Linked DNA regions of Oreochromis niloticus. The protein of the gene in region 2 interacts with the protein of the main gene of each other region in a pairwise test. Links are inferred from orthologs where the notes say so. Each region holds a gene or a part of one and is shown on either strand. Other genes may lie near its edges.

The links.
Region 1: the proteins of pin1 (region 2) and supt5h interact in binary tests that used the Homo sapiens proteins (3 or more experiments, as listed by UniProt). The link is inferred for Oreochromis niloticus from reciprocal best matches to the Homo sapiens genes PIN1 and SUPT5H.

The regions. Positions count from the first base shown.
Region 1 is NC_031979.2:38,112,809-38,120,768, forward strand, and holds the start of supt5h (transcription elongation factor SPT5), read left to right. Parts: upstream 1-4,896; 5' UTR 4,897-5,035; intron 5,036-5,234; 5' UTR 5,235-5,241; coding exon 5,242-5,328; intron 5,329-7,123; coding exon 7,124-7,283; intron 7,284-7,368; coding exon 7,369-7,434; intron 7,435-7,960. Other genes in the region: triap1 (TP53-regulated inhibitor of apoptosis 1), read right to left, coding at 3,973-4,197. UniProt on the Homo sapiens protein: Component of the DRB sensitivity-inducing factor complex (DSIF complex), which regulates mRNA processing and transcription elongation by RNA polymerase II.
Region 2 is NC_031971.2:12,301,548-12,308,701, forward strand, and holds the start of pin1 (peptidyl-prolyl cis-trans isomerase NIMA-interacting 1), read left to right. Parts: upstream 1-4,113; 5' UTR 4,114-4,233; coding exon 4,234-4,291; intron 4,292-7,154. Other genes in the region: ubl5 (ubiquitin-like protein 5), read right to left, coding at 1,997-2,040, 2,393-2,430, 2,516-2,599, 3,557-3,612. UniProt on the Homo sapiens protein: Peptidyl-prolyl cis/trans isomerase (PPIase) that binds to and isomerizes specific phosphorylated Ser/Thr-Pro (pSer/Thr-Pro) motifs.

The DNA.
Region 1 (7,960 bases), on a different chromosome or scaffold from region 2:
TTTTGCAGCCAAACTCAGCCGGCTCCTTTAAACCAGAGCTAATCAAAATGTGAGACATTGTTTCAGAGTGTGGCACGGGGGAGAGGGTATGGTGGGTGACTGGGGGCTGGGTGGGGGAGGGGGCTAGAAATGCTGTGCATTTACATAAATGGAAATGTACATAAATGGAAACAGCTGTGAATGCGGTTTAAGGCTCCAGAAAAGCCTGAAATTCGACCTCATGTTTACACATATTTAACTCGAAAATCAATGCAATATGTTTATTATCTGCCATTATATGCCAGCCATCCTGAATGCAGTGCCCGAGCCACCTCGAGTCAATGGTCCTCTTCCTCCTGGCCTCGTCTCCTAACTGAAGTCAGCACACGTGCATAAACATGGTCACTTATTCCAGGTATTGTCTCGGTTACTTGTCAGCAGATTAGACGTGTGACCCCTCCCTTCTTCTGCCAGCTGAATACAGGTGGCTAAACAACAACAGCTGCTTATACGCTAACATTACACCAGCTAATGTCGCCTCGAGCGTCCTACAAATGACACTTTCCATCTGATAAACAGTTTGATGACGTTCTCTCATCACATCAGTTTATTCAGTGTTGCAGTCCAACAATGTTAGATCCACTTCAGAGTTTCACTAATACCTGCTAACGGCAGCTAACAGAGGCTAACAGCAACAATAACAGCAGTGAAAAACATAGGTTGTGTCCAAATTCATGGGCTGCATCCTCCTGAGTGGGCCGGGTCCTCAGAAGGTCGGGTAAGCCGGAAGAAAACGGCTGTGAAATTGGACGGTCTAGCGTTCAGATTAACGTCACCGCTGTTTCAGTGTTGTTTAATAAACTCGGCCGTCTGCTCCTTGCTATCTAAAATATAACAGGACACTGGAGCAAACTCTCGATCATCTCACACTTCTGTTTAATCAGTTTTCTGTTTGACGTTTATTCAGCTGGAGGAACCCAACCGACGGATTAATAAAGTTTTATTTTATCTAATCTAATCTAATAACTTTAATCTCAGCCAAACCAATTTACTCACAAACAAATTAAACACTGAAAAAAGCCAAACAATAACATTTTTAGGTTGTCTAAGTGACTTATATGTTACGTTTAACCTGAGTGGCCAAAGACCGTGGTGATCTGAAAATGATGTGCCGGGAGTTGTGCCGTTCTCGGCGGCTCAAGTGACCCTCAAGCTCCTGACTAGCTATTGAGGTGGTGGGTAACAGACGTCTCTGAAAACGTCGGATTACTTTTGCAAATATGTGATCTCTTGATAAACCGAGCAGATATTTGAAGTTTACACAGCTACATTCTCGCCTGAAAATATCTTCAAAGTTTATTTTGTGACCCAGAAAGATTAATAAGAGTAATATTAAAAACTTAGTAGCGGCCGCCATTGTTGAAAACTGGAATTGGCTGGGCCGCGCTATGAATTCTGGGATACGGTGGGCCACGAAGGACACACCCGACCCATCCTTCAAATTTGGGGAAAAGGAGGACACATTTGTCGGCTGCATTTGGAGGAGTCTACAAATTTGGACAGCCTTCGGCGTGTCGCTGTGACGTAATTGGCCTATAAATGTGTCCTCAGGAGGATGCAGCGCATGAATTTAGACACCCCCATACATTCTTCATTTCCAAGCAAAGTTAATTAATTTATGTGAGTCAGGAAAGCTCTTGGAGTTTACATTGTATCCTGCATCCTTGGTAGGGTTGGACGTGCTTCATAGTGCAGACCTCTGAGGGATAAAACATGAAGCAAGCAGTGCTAGAAAAAGGGGATGATATGTACGGTGGTGGTAATCAGCTTTGTCTGTTAGGTCGTGCTCTTTGCTTCTGACTTCTACTTTTCCATCCAGTGAGCACTGAATCCACCTGTCAGAGACAACATGAGACGAACGGCTCCTTCAGTCCTGAAAAAGTTGGGAGTCTGTGTAAAATGGAAGCGCAAAACTCGCATTTTATTCACAACACAGGAAACATATCAGAAAAACAGAAAAATATTAGGTCATTTTGACGGCAGCAACTGTTCGGACAGCTCAATGAAAGAGTGGTAGAGCCGCAGTTACTAAGAAGAAACAGCTGGAAGGATCATATTGCAACTCATGAGCAGAAGCTCGCCAATCTACACAAACTGTGTCTCTTAACTGTGGAACAATTTCAGAACCGGCACATCTGGAAAGGCTCCATCAGTCCTGAAAGGTATAAACAGGTTGGAGAGCAACATCTGCTCCGTGCAGATGTGTTTCTCAGGAAGGCCTCTGACTGCATCTATTCCAGCCTCACGGCTTCAGAGGAACAGAGTCCGGCCACTGAACCGCCCGCCTGCAGTCCAGACCTCTGACCAGCTGACAACATCTGGAGCATCAAGAAAGCAACAAGAGGACGAAGCAGAGCCAGGACTGCTGAGCAGCTGGAATCCTCCATCAGTCCATCACAGACTGATGTTACAGAGCAAACATGGACCTGTCCTACTTTTACAGACGTGACTTGAAATCACTGCATTGCTTTTGTTTACATTTTACACAACAGCTAACTATTTTCTACTTCGGTTTGTATAAAGATGCTCAAACATTATAGTAAAATACAACAGTGGTGATAGAAATAACACACAGAGTAAGGCTGCAGAAAATCCTGGTGATGTAATAACCAGACACACTGCGGGGACTACAATAACAAAATTTATGGAACCTCCCTCTGAGCGCGCTCAGTGCTGCTGTTTATCTCTAACATTGCTGCTGGGAAACATTTAAACATTACCGCTCTCTGTCCCGCGGCCTCAAAGTAAACCACTTTAGTTTGTCGCCCAACGAGCCAAAGTGAAATCAATGAGCGAGTACGTTTTCTTCTTGATTAACAGCCTGCAGATGAAACTAAATTATTTTCTTGTGTTCTATTAGCATCAGTGAAGCTTGGCAGCAGATTAAGACCAAACATTAAAAAAACAAAACAAACTTTCTGCATCACCAGTTTGAACAGCTGCATTCATTTACTGGTGTTACTGGCTGGATGCATGCAGAGGACCAGTCAGTGTGGTGCTCCCAGCTGACTTTAAGCTCAAACTCTGAGCATTTGTCATGGTGAAAATAGAGCCACCTTCAGCGCACTGAAAACATTGACTCTGGCTTATGAACTCATTAAGCTCCCTCTGTCGAACACCCCCCACAAACCAAGCCCAGTACCAGGCAGTGGTTTGATCCCCGGCTCCACCGGGCTGGCAAGTCAGAGCATCCGGGGAGTAAGAACCCAAAGGATGGCGAGGTGACCGTCCACTGAGTGTGTGTGAGAGACCGAAGTGCTTTGAGTGCACAGCATGGGCCAATTCAGAACTCTGGTCATGTTTAATCTGAACATCCGTCGCAGGCACAGGAAGAATGAGACACAGAACTGGTCTCAACACTGAAAATACTCAGAATGATAAAGAATAACCTGCAGAAAAATAAGGAGAGACATCGACCCCACAAACCGCCTGCTGTTTGAGTAAAAACACACCATGTGCAAGAGTCCTGCTCCAACACCGAGCTCCCTTTAATTCATTTGTACAATGCAAGATTGAGTTTTGCACACATGACATTAGTCAGAAGAGTTTTCAGCATCACATCTTATTTTAGCTGTGTAAATGCATGGTTACAGGCTGCCACTGCTTCATAACGCGCACACAGGCCGTCATGGAGGAGCTTTAGCTGGTTAGTAATTGGATTCAGACAGTTTTAGCTCAGTTTCATGGCTGACAGCTGCTCCATCGGCCCTCTGGAGGAGAACCGGGCTGTAAGTGTCTCTGGTGAGAAAGGAAGTCCGAACAGAGCTGTGCAGTAAAAGAAAAGCTTATATTTAAGGAGACGGTCCTTTCAGGGGCCGCTTCACCCTCTAACCCCAGCGACAGCAGCTTGTCCGCTCCTGCGCATGCTCGGTGGGCCTCGTGGACCCCGCTCAGTGTGGTGTACATTTTTAGGATTTCCCCAGCAGTCCTCCATCAGCTCTCAGGCTTGTCCTTGTTGGGCCCCATGAAGTCCACGCCGTCGATGGGGATCTCCTTCTCCTTGATGGCCGCCTGCACGCAGCGCTGGTACTTCCGGAAGCTCTCCGTGCACGGGTCGCCGCTCCGGTCGCCCTTCAGGAACTTCTCGGCAAACCAGCGGTTGAAGCAGGTGTCGTACTCCCGCTTCAGCTCGGTACAGGCCTCCCCCACACTGTTCATCTCCGGGAACAAACACCGCTCGTCTCAGAAACGACAGAGGAGCGAAACCTGGAGGACCTACCTGCTGTTCCAACCCTGTCGGCGACAACGACATGCGCACTGTGACTCTCCTTGGCCTGCGCCATGTGATTGGCTGGTTTGGCGAAAAGTCGAACAGCGTATCTGCGTGTGGACGTAACAAAGATTTATGTAAAAGAGGCATTCACTCTGAGGAGAAATTATGAACTCGAAGTGTTTTAAAAATATATAGTTATATAATGTAAATATTTCAAATGTTGATCTATTTATTAAAATTAAAGGCTGACATAATCATTTGTGGCAAATAAGAATCATAAATAGTGTGTGGTTGTATGTTTCCTCTTCCGTTTTTCTTTGTAGCAAGTTTAAATTCATTATTTCTAACGATTTGTGTTGTTTATTTGTAGTTTTTATTTATTTGATTATTTTTAATAATTATTTTGTATGCATTTTCTCTAATAAAACAGCTTAGTCTCTAAACTGGAAAACTTAAAGATATATGTGTTTGGTTAATTTACTTATATGTACATATACGTATACTTTTTTACATTTATGAATTTTCTTAAAAAAAATAAAAAAAAAAACTTTAGCCGTTTGATAAATTGAAGAAACAAACGTGTTCTCAAAAACATGGCGGAGTGGCACCTCGTCAACGTTTACCTACCTATTGTGTGAAACCCCGCGAGAATTTTTGAGCAGCTTTCCGAAATCTCGTTGTTCCCCGAGAATACGCGAAGAATCATCAGAGACAGAAAGAAGCTTATATTCATATTTATTCATCAAAGATCTGGATTAAACCGGCTCCGTCTGGTTGAAGCAGGTAAGGAAGACCCGCGGAGCTCGTTATTTAAGCTCTGACTGCAGCTGCTGAAGAGGTTATTGGACCCTGCCTCTGTGCTATGCATTAGCCTCTCTTGCTTGGCCCTGCTGGTTGTTGTGGCCGCGCAGCCGGACTCGATTCAAACTTCACCGAGCTGCTTTGTGAATTTTTCCGTCGCTAAAAGTGCTTCTGTCCGCAGAGACGAGATGTCCGACAGCGAGGACAGCGACTTCTCCGACAACCAGAGCGAGCGCAGCAGCGATGGCGAGGCCGAGGAAGTGGAGGAGAATGAGGTGAGCTAGCCGGCAAGCTACGTGTGCTAACAGGAGGTAAACAGAGAGGAGAGCGCAGCTGCGACATGTGCGGTAGGATACCGAGGAAGAACGCAGTCAGACCTGCATAAAAACGGCACAATTTATAAGAAAAAGCTAAGAAACTTTATGGGGACAAACCCGGTCGTGTGTGTATGTGTGTCTTCTGTCTAATGTTCTTATTTATTCCGGTAAATTTGCTGCAGTCAACGGGATTTATGGCAGGACTATATATAAAATAAAGTAAATAACCAGTTCTATAAGTGACTTTATGACTGAGTTTTTGTACCTGCTCTGTGCCCACGTTATAATCCACGCAGTCCTCTTCAAATGTTGAGGCTCATTCTACAGATGGTGTATTAATAATGTGGTCACTTATTGACTTCCCATAAATGACAGCTTAATGTTTTTTCTGTTTTTGTCTGTTTTTGTACATTAACTTAAAGAGCTTTGGTGTTTTTGGCACCGGTGTTACTCCTGTGGCATTTTTAAAGGCTTTTATGAACTATTATTTCCCGAGTCACAGAGAAATAATGAATGTAATGCAGGAAATCAGGAGCTGATCTATTGTTTTCACTCTGGTTTGTTAAAGAGTGATCGTGTGATATTTTTGCAGCTGTTTATTTGGTACAATAGCGTGTTAAATATGACACACGTGATGTGTTAGAAATGAAACGTACAATAACACCAGTGACACAATGAGTCACGATCCTCCTACCGTACCAAAGGAGGATTAATAGTGACCAAAAACAGTAGTATTCTTTTGAATAAATGTTCATATTTAATGTAAAATAACTCCATAAATGCTGATGATAAAGTTTCTCTGCCCTCGGGAATCTGTGGTGTCACCCACAGTAACGGCTTGGCTCTTACTCAAAATGAAAGTAACACCTGTGAAAAATCCCTGCGTGGCATCAGACCACAGGTACTTTACTCTGTTTTTGTTTTTTTGTTTTTCTTCTGGGGGGTGGGGGTGGGGGTGGTGTTAGAGTAAAGTGGGTCACACCACCGACTTCAACTAAAAGAGAAAATTTCTGATAAATGAAAAGAGACACTGGACTTATCACAAGCAATTTTTTTTTTATAGAGCTTCAGGAAATAAGTAAAATGAAGTCGAGTGACATCACCACCGTCGTCTTTTGTTTTCTTACACAGTCATACTTTTGATTCTACTTTATATATTTATCGTATGTTTGATAGTTCCGTATATACGTTATTACATTTTAAATGGTTACAGCATCTCTTTGACTTTAAATCATAGCACTTACCTGCTGTATGTGCCTTTGGGCTCGAACACTTCGGTGGTGCTCGACTGCCATACAACTGCTTTAAAAACAAATGCTATTTTTATTTTAATGTAAAACTAAATGTCCTGTTTTATGTGTGATGTTTCTGTAAAAGCTGCCGTCTTCGACCAAACGCTCTAGAATATAACTCTTGAGTGTTCATGAGACTTTACCCAGATAAATAAAGGACGTGCAAATGTTACTTTACAAAAATGTCATTGCAGTTTCTACCGTCTGACGGGAAATTTGACTTAATTATTCATCAGAGATATTTTTGACTGACGATAGGCCAACAGCCTTAATGGCACCAAATTTCTGAGTGGAAAAATGTCAGATTTGCAGGGTCGGGGTCTCTGCTCAGATGATGCTCAGATCTCTGAGGCTGTGTTTATAAAAGATCCCTGGAAAAACGGAAGAACCGGAGAAGCAGCAGACTCTCAGAGGGGATGCAGGAGATTAATTTTCATCTGCTTTTGTCGTTGTGTCACCAGGAGGAGACGGGCAGCCCAGTGGGCAGTGACAAGGTAGCGGATGAGGAGGGGGAGGACCTGGAGGATGAGGAGGAGTACGACGAAGAAGAGGAGGAGGATGACGACGACGATCGTCCGAGGAAGAAGCCGAGACACGGAGGGTTCATCCTGGATGAAGCTGGTGTGAACAGATGACAGTCTCTCAGACTCCTTGTGATGATGATGATGATGATGATGCACGTCTGACCCTGTGTTTGTCTGTCCAGATGTGGACGATGAGTACGAGGACGAGGATCAGTGGGAGGACGGAGCGGAGGATATTTTGGAGAAAGGTAAGAAAGTGAAGATGAGAGCTGTTACGAATCCTTCAGCATGAGCTCAGATTTATTTTAAACTCCAGACTCGATCCCGAGGCTCCGATTGACGGATCGTGTCTGTTTAATCACGTTGCTTTTTTTAAACAGCACAAACTGGTTTCATCCATTAAACCCAGTGAACAGATTACTGAACGTGCCACACGATCCCAGTCTGCTAACAGCACACCTGCTGAGGTGTAACCTCAGCTTGTTTTCACGTTTGTCATCGAGCCGGGGAGGCGTCGCCATCCCGCCTCGGGACGCATCGCTTTTGTTTTTCTGCAGGTTCTTATTAAAGTCCGTGTTTCACACAGTGACGCTCAAAGAGTCCGATCGGTATTCAGCACAACCCAAACTGTTGTGATGTCGTTGCTTTGAGGACGGGGACGAGGTCCGCGTTAGTCGTAGCCCGTCTTCAAAGCGACTTTAGTGCATCAGGGCGGCGCTAAAATGGCAGTGAGCTGCTGTGTGTTTGTGATTGAGCGGAACAGGTTGGCAGTTA
Region 2 (7,154 bases):
TGGTATTACAACAGAGTTTTAGGCTTGGTTTGCTGTATATAGTGTGGTGTGTTTTGTTAGAAAGTACTGTATAAAGATTTAGAATATTATGTCACTTTTGACCTCTGACCTCTCCCTCAAGGTCAAAGTGATAATAATACAATGCAGAGCTATTGCAAACTTTCTTACTGCTATTGTTTGTATTGACAGCATATAGAGAATGATAACTGGGGATTGTAATTATCACATTACTTTGGACCTTTGATCTCTTTTTCAAGGTCAAATAAGGTAAAACTTGCCTTTTATTTTTAAAAATGATTCAAATTCTTATATTGGCTACAGTTTGGAAATGATACTAGTATATGGGGATTCTAAATATCTTCACATTTGACCTCTTCCCTCATTCGGCAGTTGTTGTCTTTCCACAGCTGTGCCACGACTGTCCCCTCATTCTTTTCTTTCTTTGATGCAGTTTTAGTAAAAGGTTTACATCAATGTCAGCTGTCAATGGCTAAAGCTCTGAAGTGTTGAGAGACACAATAGTATCCATGTCCAAGAAGACTGAGTCTATAAGTAAGGTCTCCATGGCAGCAGGATTTCGCTCTCACTCTGCCAAAAGTGCCGCTTCCACTTCAAACACGTTGGACGGCTTTGTTCAGTGCAGACATGTTCTTACACACCAAAGGAAAATGTTTGATTATGGGGCTGGTTTTGTGCCCACATCTGTATTGTAATGCTAAATCTGAAATCTAAAACAGAGTTGCGGGCCATGGCACTTCTCTGTAGTAGCAGCATTTATTTAGCTGCAACAAAGGTCAAAGTATCAATGCCACAGGCTTCCTGACATGTAGAACTTCTGCAAAAATAGTTTACACAATACACCTTATATGTATTCACACTGATGCAGTGAACAAGCAGGTGTTTTTTGTGCTATAGCTGTCTTATCTGATCAGTACACTACAGAAAGGTTTCTAAAATAAAAGTACATGTTAGATGCACAAAGGTCTTATAATTTCCTCTGAAATGTGGTCCAGTACGAGTGTAATGTGGTAAAGAATGGTTTAAAATATCGAGGTTAAACATATAGTGTACAGGGAGGTTTAGCGCTGGCTTTTCCCCCCCATCATTAAACAATAAAAGATACTTCAGAGTCAGCGCAATAGCTTTAGAAACCACCTTTTTTAAAACTAAATCATTAAACTTTGTTTCATACAAATTCCCCCTGGTTGCTAACCCCAGCTCTCAGTCTGAGAACTGCTGCCAAAGCTGATTAATCAGCCAGTATCATTTTTTTTAGTCCAAGCACTTTTTTTTGTTGTTGAAAACAGCATGCGTGTAAATCTAGCTTCTGCAATGCGTATATGCGATAAACTCATTAGCCATACTGGTCTTATGTACAGAGGTAAAGCTACGTCTAATTAAAAGTTTGTGGAGGAGTTGGAGCAGAAGGCCCCTAGAAAACCTGATGGTGTCCATTTGCCTCCACTGAAATTATTCATATACATCCCCACGTGAATGATGTTGGATGCACAGCCATAGGCAAATATCATTGCCAAGTTCCACTGATAAGTTTGTAGGTCCCATTGGCACCAATTAAACCCTTCTACTTACTACCACCAACATCAAAAGCAACTAACTCCATGTTTTTTTGCATGCTTTTGCCCAACACTTTACCTTCATCCAGTAAGCTGGAAAGCAAAGAGTAATTTGGAAAAGTGTTAGCGATGCATAAGGTTTCCCAGTCTCACCCAGTATGAGAAAATAATTAATGGACAAAAAAGACCAGCACTCACTCTCACAGTCAGGTAAATATCAGTTTTATTTCCAAAATATAAAAAAAAACAACAACAACATCTCTTTCACAAAGTGATTTGAGAGGAAAAATTAAAACTCCATTGTTGCTGTGTGACTGTCGCTCTCGCTCCATCTTGTTGTGTGAGACCTTCAATTGTGTGTGTGTGTTTGTAGCAAGAAACATCTTTACATCTGTACATCTGACTTGTAGTTCTCCTCTTGCTTACTGGTAGTACAGCTCAAGGTTCATCCCATCATGGATTTCATCTGGAGAGTTTTTGGTTAAGTGCAACAAGTGATCTGGATACAGCAGCTATCGGTTCTGCTGATTCTGAGAGGTACAAATTTACACGCATTACAAAAATGCTTCAGCTGTTTTAATTAGAGAAAAATAAGTGCTGCAGTTATCTTGATCTCTAAATCAATAAAAAACATTTTTTTACCAATTTAAACAATTTATGGATACATTCATGTTATGGATCATTGTGAGTGCAATAAAAGGAACTGCAGTTGTTCTGTGAGGGTGTAATAACGTCACGGTCATGATCATTATTAAATTAAAGGTAATGTAACTAAAACCACATAAGTACAACTACAGGAAAAACCCTTTAAAGGATACAGTCACCCAGAGACACGTGGTCCTTGAATATGGTGTACCTGTGGAAAACAAAGGACAACATTTAGGTCCAAATAGATGAGTTATTTGTCATCAAGCACATCAAATCCCATTTGAGCAGCTCACCATTTCTTTAGCACGATCTTATCATGCCGTGTTCCTGTCTGGGCAGCTATGAGCTTCTTCAGATCTCCGATGGTATCCTCAGAGCTGAAACACCGAAGTTAAGGAAGGAGCAGTGTAACAGCTTGGAAAACATCCAGAGCTTTAACAAATGCGTGGTTAAAAAAAATCTGAGTGTTGTCTGCTAGTATCATTTTGTTTCTTTTGATCTGCAGATGGACGGCGCAGCAGCTTTGGATGCTCTGCTTTCCTCAGTCAAAACACACAGGATGGCTAAAGTATTCTATCTAAACTGGTCCAACTCTCTCTGTAGCCCCATGACAGACTGCCTCCGAACCCATTATAGGCCAAAAACGTCTAACACTTGACCAAACAAGATCCCTTCAAGCTGCGACACCCAGAAGTTACTGAAAATCATCAGACTTTTAGTTGATTGTCAAGTGGCGTTCATTCAAGTGGTATTATATCTGCTGTCAAGTGATGGCAAATAGTGGCAAGCACCATTTTTAAACATCATTTGATGATAATAAACATAAATAGCGTCACATATTAAAAGGTAAAAGAACCTGAAAGACCAAAATGTAAGATACTGACTTTTTGTTTTTAATAAAGTTCACTTACAAGCTGAAACCTCAAATATGACTATTATAATAACCCACAGACTTTCAATTGTGGGTTTCTGTATTAACGGAATGAAATAAGTCATAAGAAGTAATCAGCATGGGTGCCAAGACAAACAGTGACACTGAATTTTAGTCTTCTAACATACTCCAGAAACTCACATGTTAATAGATTCATTGTAAAACTATTCCCCACACCATTCTATAATATAAATGGGCCTTACTTGCACCTTAAAATTAAGTCCATAATTTCAGAGCAGGGGTGCTGTGAAAGCAGATGCTGATGAATGCTGTACTGTTAAACATCCCGACTTATGTTAACTCATCTCAAGACATCCCAGATGTCCGCACCTAAAACATGATTTTGACATGTGTGCTGAGAGACAATATTCAGCATTATTTTCAGAGTTTCAGCAAAGGATACTTGCACTTGACCCGGACTTTCTTGCCTAGACGGTCGTTGCAAACCACTTCAATCATCTTTATGTCTGCAGAAAAGAGGAAGAGATGAGACAACGTTAGACAAATGAAGGTATTAGATTATAAAGTAGATGATAACCCTAGTGAGTTTATTTTATACAAGATTGGCTGGAAATCACAGCCACAGAAATCTAGTGAAATCAGCCAGGTTGTTTTGTTTAGCTAACGTTAGCTGTAGCTCACAACACCACGTTAATGTAAAACAAACGGGACTTATATTTAAATACACTCATGGGCAGCTTTATGAGGTCAAAATCCGAAACATTATGATACCGTATAAAAACCACACGTTGAAGCTGTCATCCTTACCTTGAACTGTACAGCAGAAAAAAACAATTATTTCCTTCGCTGATATTTTCTGGAAACCTCTCGGTCCTGCTTACCGTAAAGCTGGTTTAGTTGCGAATTCGCCTTCCTACCAATCAAATGAGGACTACGATGATTGGCGATCTCGCTAGACCTATCACAGAACAAAAACCCCACCAAAGGCGGACCTAATACTGAAAACAACTTGTACCATAAACATCAGGCCAACTGTCGTAATCTGCCTAGCTGCAGCTTGGTTCGTCACACGGCTTCTAGATTGAAATCAAATTTGAAAACGCTGCTGCAGAAAGCAACATGGCAGACGAGGAGAACCTACCGTCCGGATGGGAGAAAAGAATGAGCCGCAATTCAGGTGATAAAACACGAGCCACAAGAAGCTAAGTGTCCTAAATAGTGAGCTAAAGTGGAGTGTATAGTGAACTTAGCTCAGTAGCTAGCAACCTCAGCATCGTGCATTAGTGCTGAAACGAGGTTGGACTGACGTGTTTAATCACTGCAGTCTAAAAGCAGCGAGGGGTTAGTCGCTGCTGTCAATGTCTTTATTTAATGGTGGCGTTTTCTCAGCTTGTTTTAGGCACCTTAGCTTCATTATCGCGCCAAAGCTGATTCATTCAACCTGGCTGCGGCAGGGCCCTGCATGACGTCAGCCCGCCCCAGCGCCTCACCTGCAGATTGAACGAGTCCCAGCAGTAGGACGCTTTTCAGAATGCTAAACTTATGCGTCCTCTCTCCTCCCTCCTCACGTGACACAGGTTATCGTCATAGCTCTCGTGCTGTGGTGTTTTGTAAGGACCAGTCAATTCTAATACACACAGTTACACGGAGAAACACTAATATTTAATATACAATTAACTTAAATGTTTTAGTATCCCTCAAAGAAGCAAATTGCTTCAAAAAAAGAAAGCAGTTACTGTGAGGTGAACATTGCTGGGGTCGTTGCTCAAAGTCTTAAACATTACTTGTCACTTTTATTTATTTGTTTTTGTTTCATTTTGCATTACCTAATTACTCCCTGGAGAAAGTAATTTGTTAAACTACTCGTTATACTTTGCGTTACTCCACCGCAACATGACTGACAGCATGTTGTGATGCATTATAAGCCTTAGGCTACAGCCCCACACAGTGACTCAAACCCCTATCATAACAGAGGCCGTAAGATTTTATTTAATTTAATTTAATTTTTGTAGTGATAACACGTGGCAAAGTTGAAAACCAACTCAAGGAGCCTTCAGAACAACCACCACACCGATTCTACTGTAGAAACATGTACAGGTAGAAATGGAGGCTGGGCCTGATGGCTCATCACTCTGGCTGCTGACTAAGGGTCAGGATACACTGACTCTAGGTTCTTCACCGTGAAGATGTTTGTAAAGAGATGTTGCGTTAACAGTATAATGCAGCAGTTTCTGCTCTGGATGCAGTTTGCGATTCGTGATCTCATCCTTTCATGCAGTGAAATGGCCACATCGCCACTTCTCAAATGTTGTAAACTGCTCCACCATTTTCCTCCTCCCTGCAAAAATCTGAACTCACCTGACAGCAGCACAGGAAGAAAACTGCTGGTTTGATTTTTTTTTCCCCCTCTTTCAATCTGCCCATTGCTGAGATAATTGAATAACCTTTGCAAAGCAAATAGTGATGCAGTTGCTGAAATTAGTACAGTGATATGTTACAGTACTGCCTGTCTCAAAGAGTAATGTGATTACAGTACCTTGTTACCTTCTAGCCTGTTATATCAACGACTAATAACGATAAGTAAGGAAGTAACAATAACGCAAGTAAATTTTATTTATAAAAGGTAAATATTTGGAAGATATAAAATAAAAAATACTAATAATTGGTTATTTATTTTTTGTAGCATATCTAAAGATGGCACATGAGAGATTATTTTTATTTAAATTGGCCTATTAGAGATTTGAATGACTTTCAGACTTTGAAGGAGAAGCTGCTCTAAGCTTTGAAATCGTTCTTAAATGAGGGCTCGTGTGGGAGTCTGTGAGTTGGACAGGTGGCCCAGCTGTGCACCGTGACTCACTCTACACTGACGATGAAACCACAAAGTTCTCATTTAGCAACAGCAGCTCCTCCATCGACACGTACCTCCTTCACATCTCTCTGAGATGGCTAGGAAGAGCCGTCTCCTAGTGCTAGCAACTAGTTGCCAGCTAGTACTGGACAACAAGTTAATTGCTTTATATGAAGATGGAGCCTGACCAAAGGAAGAAAGGAGGCGTGCTTGAGTCATGGAAAGCACCCAAAGCATATAAAAGCTGGGCAGAGCCACTTTAATGTCACCCCGTGGTTTGTGGGCACCAGCTTTGAAACTTGCAGTGTGGCAGTTGGGCTTTCACCATCTTGGTCTTATGAAACCACACATGAAAATGTTAGCACTGCAAAAGAGGTGATCAGTGAACATTAGCGGTAGCAAGCTTGCATGTCAGAGCGTATACCATTTAACAGTTTACATGGATTATTTGCAAAGATAAAAACAGTCGAGCAGCGCAGTCAGCCTTTTGCTCAATGAGTCTCTAATCCTGAGGATAAACTCGAATTTCATGATGTTGGACTGCAGCTGGCAACAGTACCTGTTGTTCTTGCTGTTTAAGGTCGCAGGTCATGTTACAGTGATCCTTTCCATGTCCACTCCAGTATGGTGGATATGTTTCTGTTGAGAAGCAGGCTGACACAATGTCAAGCAAAACTGCTGCTATATAAATATGAGGTGTGAAGGTCCAGGGCTGGTTAGAAGGGGATTGGCCTAATAAATGAATCAGTGGTCCATGAAAACAGTCTTAAAATAAGAATTACTTTTAAAACAGAAGAAACCAAACAGTTGACTCAGTGTTTAAGTACGATCGAATGCTAAACTAGAGAAAGGTGCTTCTTTTAAAAGTGTATGGCCTCAGCAGCATTTTTTTTTCTTTTACACTTTTTTGCTGAAAGGCCGAGAAGGATTCAAAGGTGATTCTTCTATGAAGTCAGCCTGTGATATTTATTTTCTCCTGTGCAGATGGCCTGTAATGTCTAACATAAAAGGCTTCGATCATAGTTGTAAACTCACACAATAAGCTTTTTTTAGTCAGTTTTGGTCATTGTGGCTTTTTGATAGCATCTCTGATGCTCTTCTCTCATTACCTTTATTTACAGTCTTGGCAGGAAGCAGTTTGGTTGGTTTTTTTGTTTTTTCTTTTTTTCTTTTTGGCAGCTCACTACAA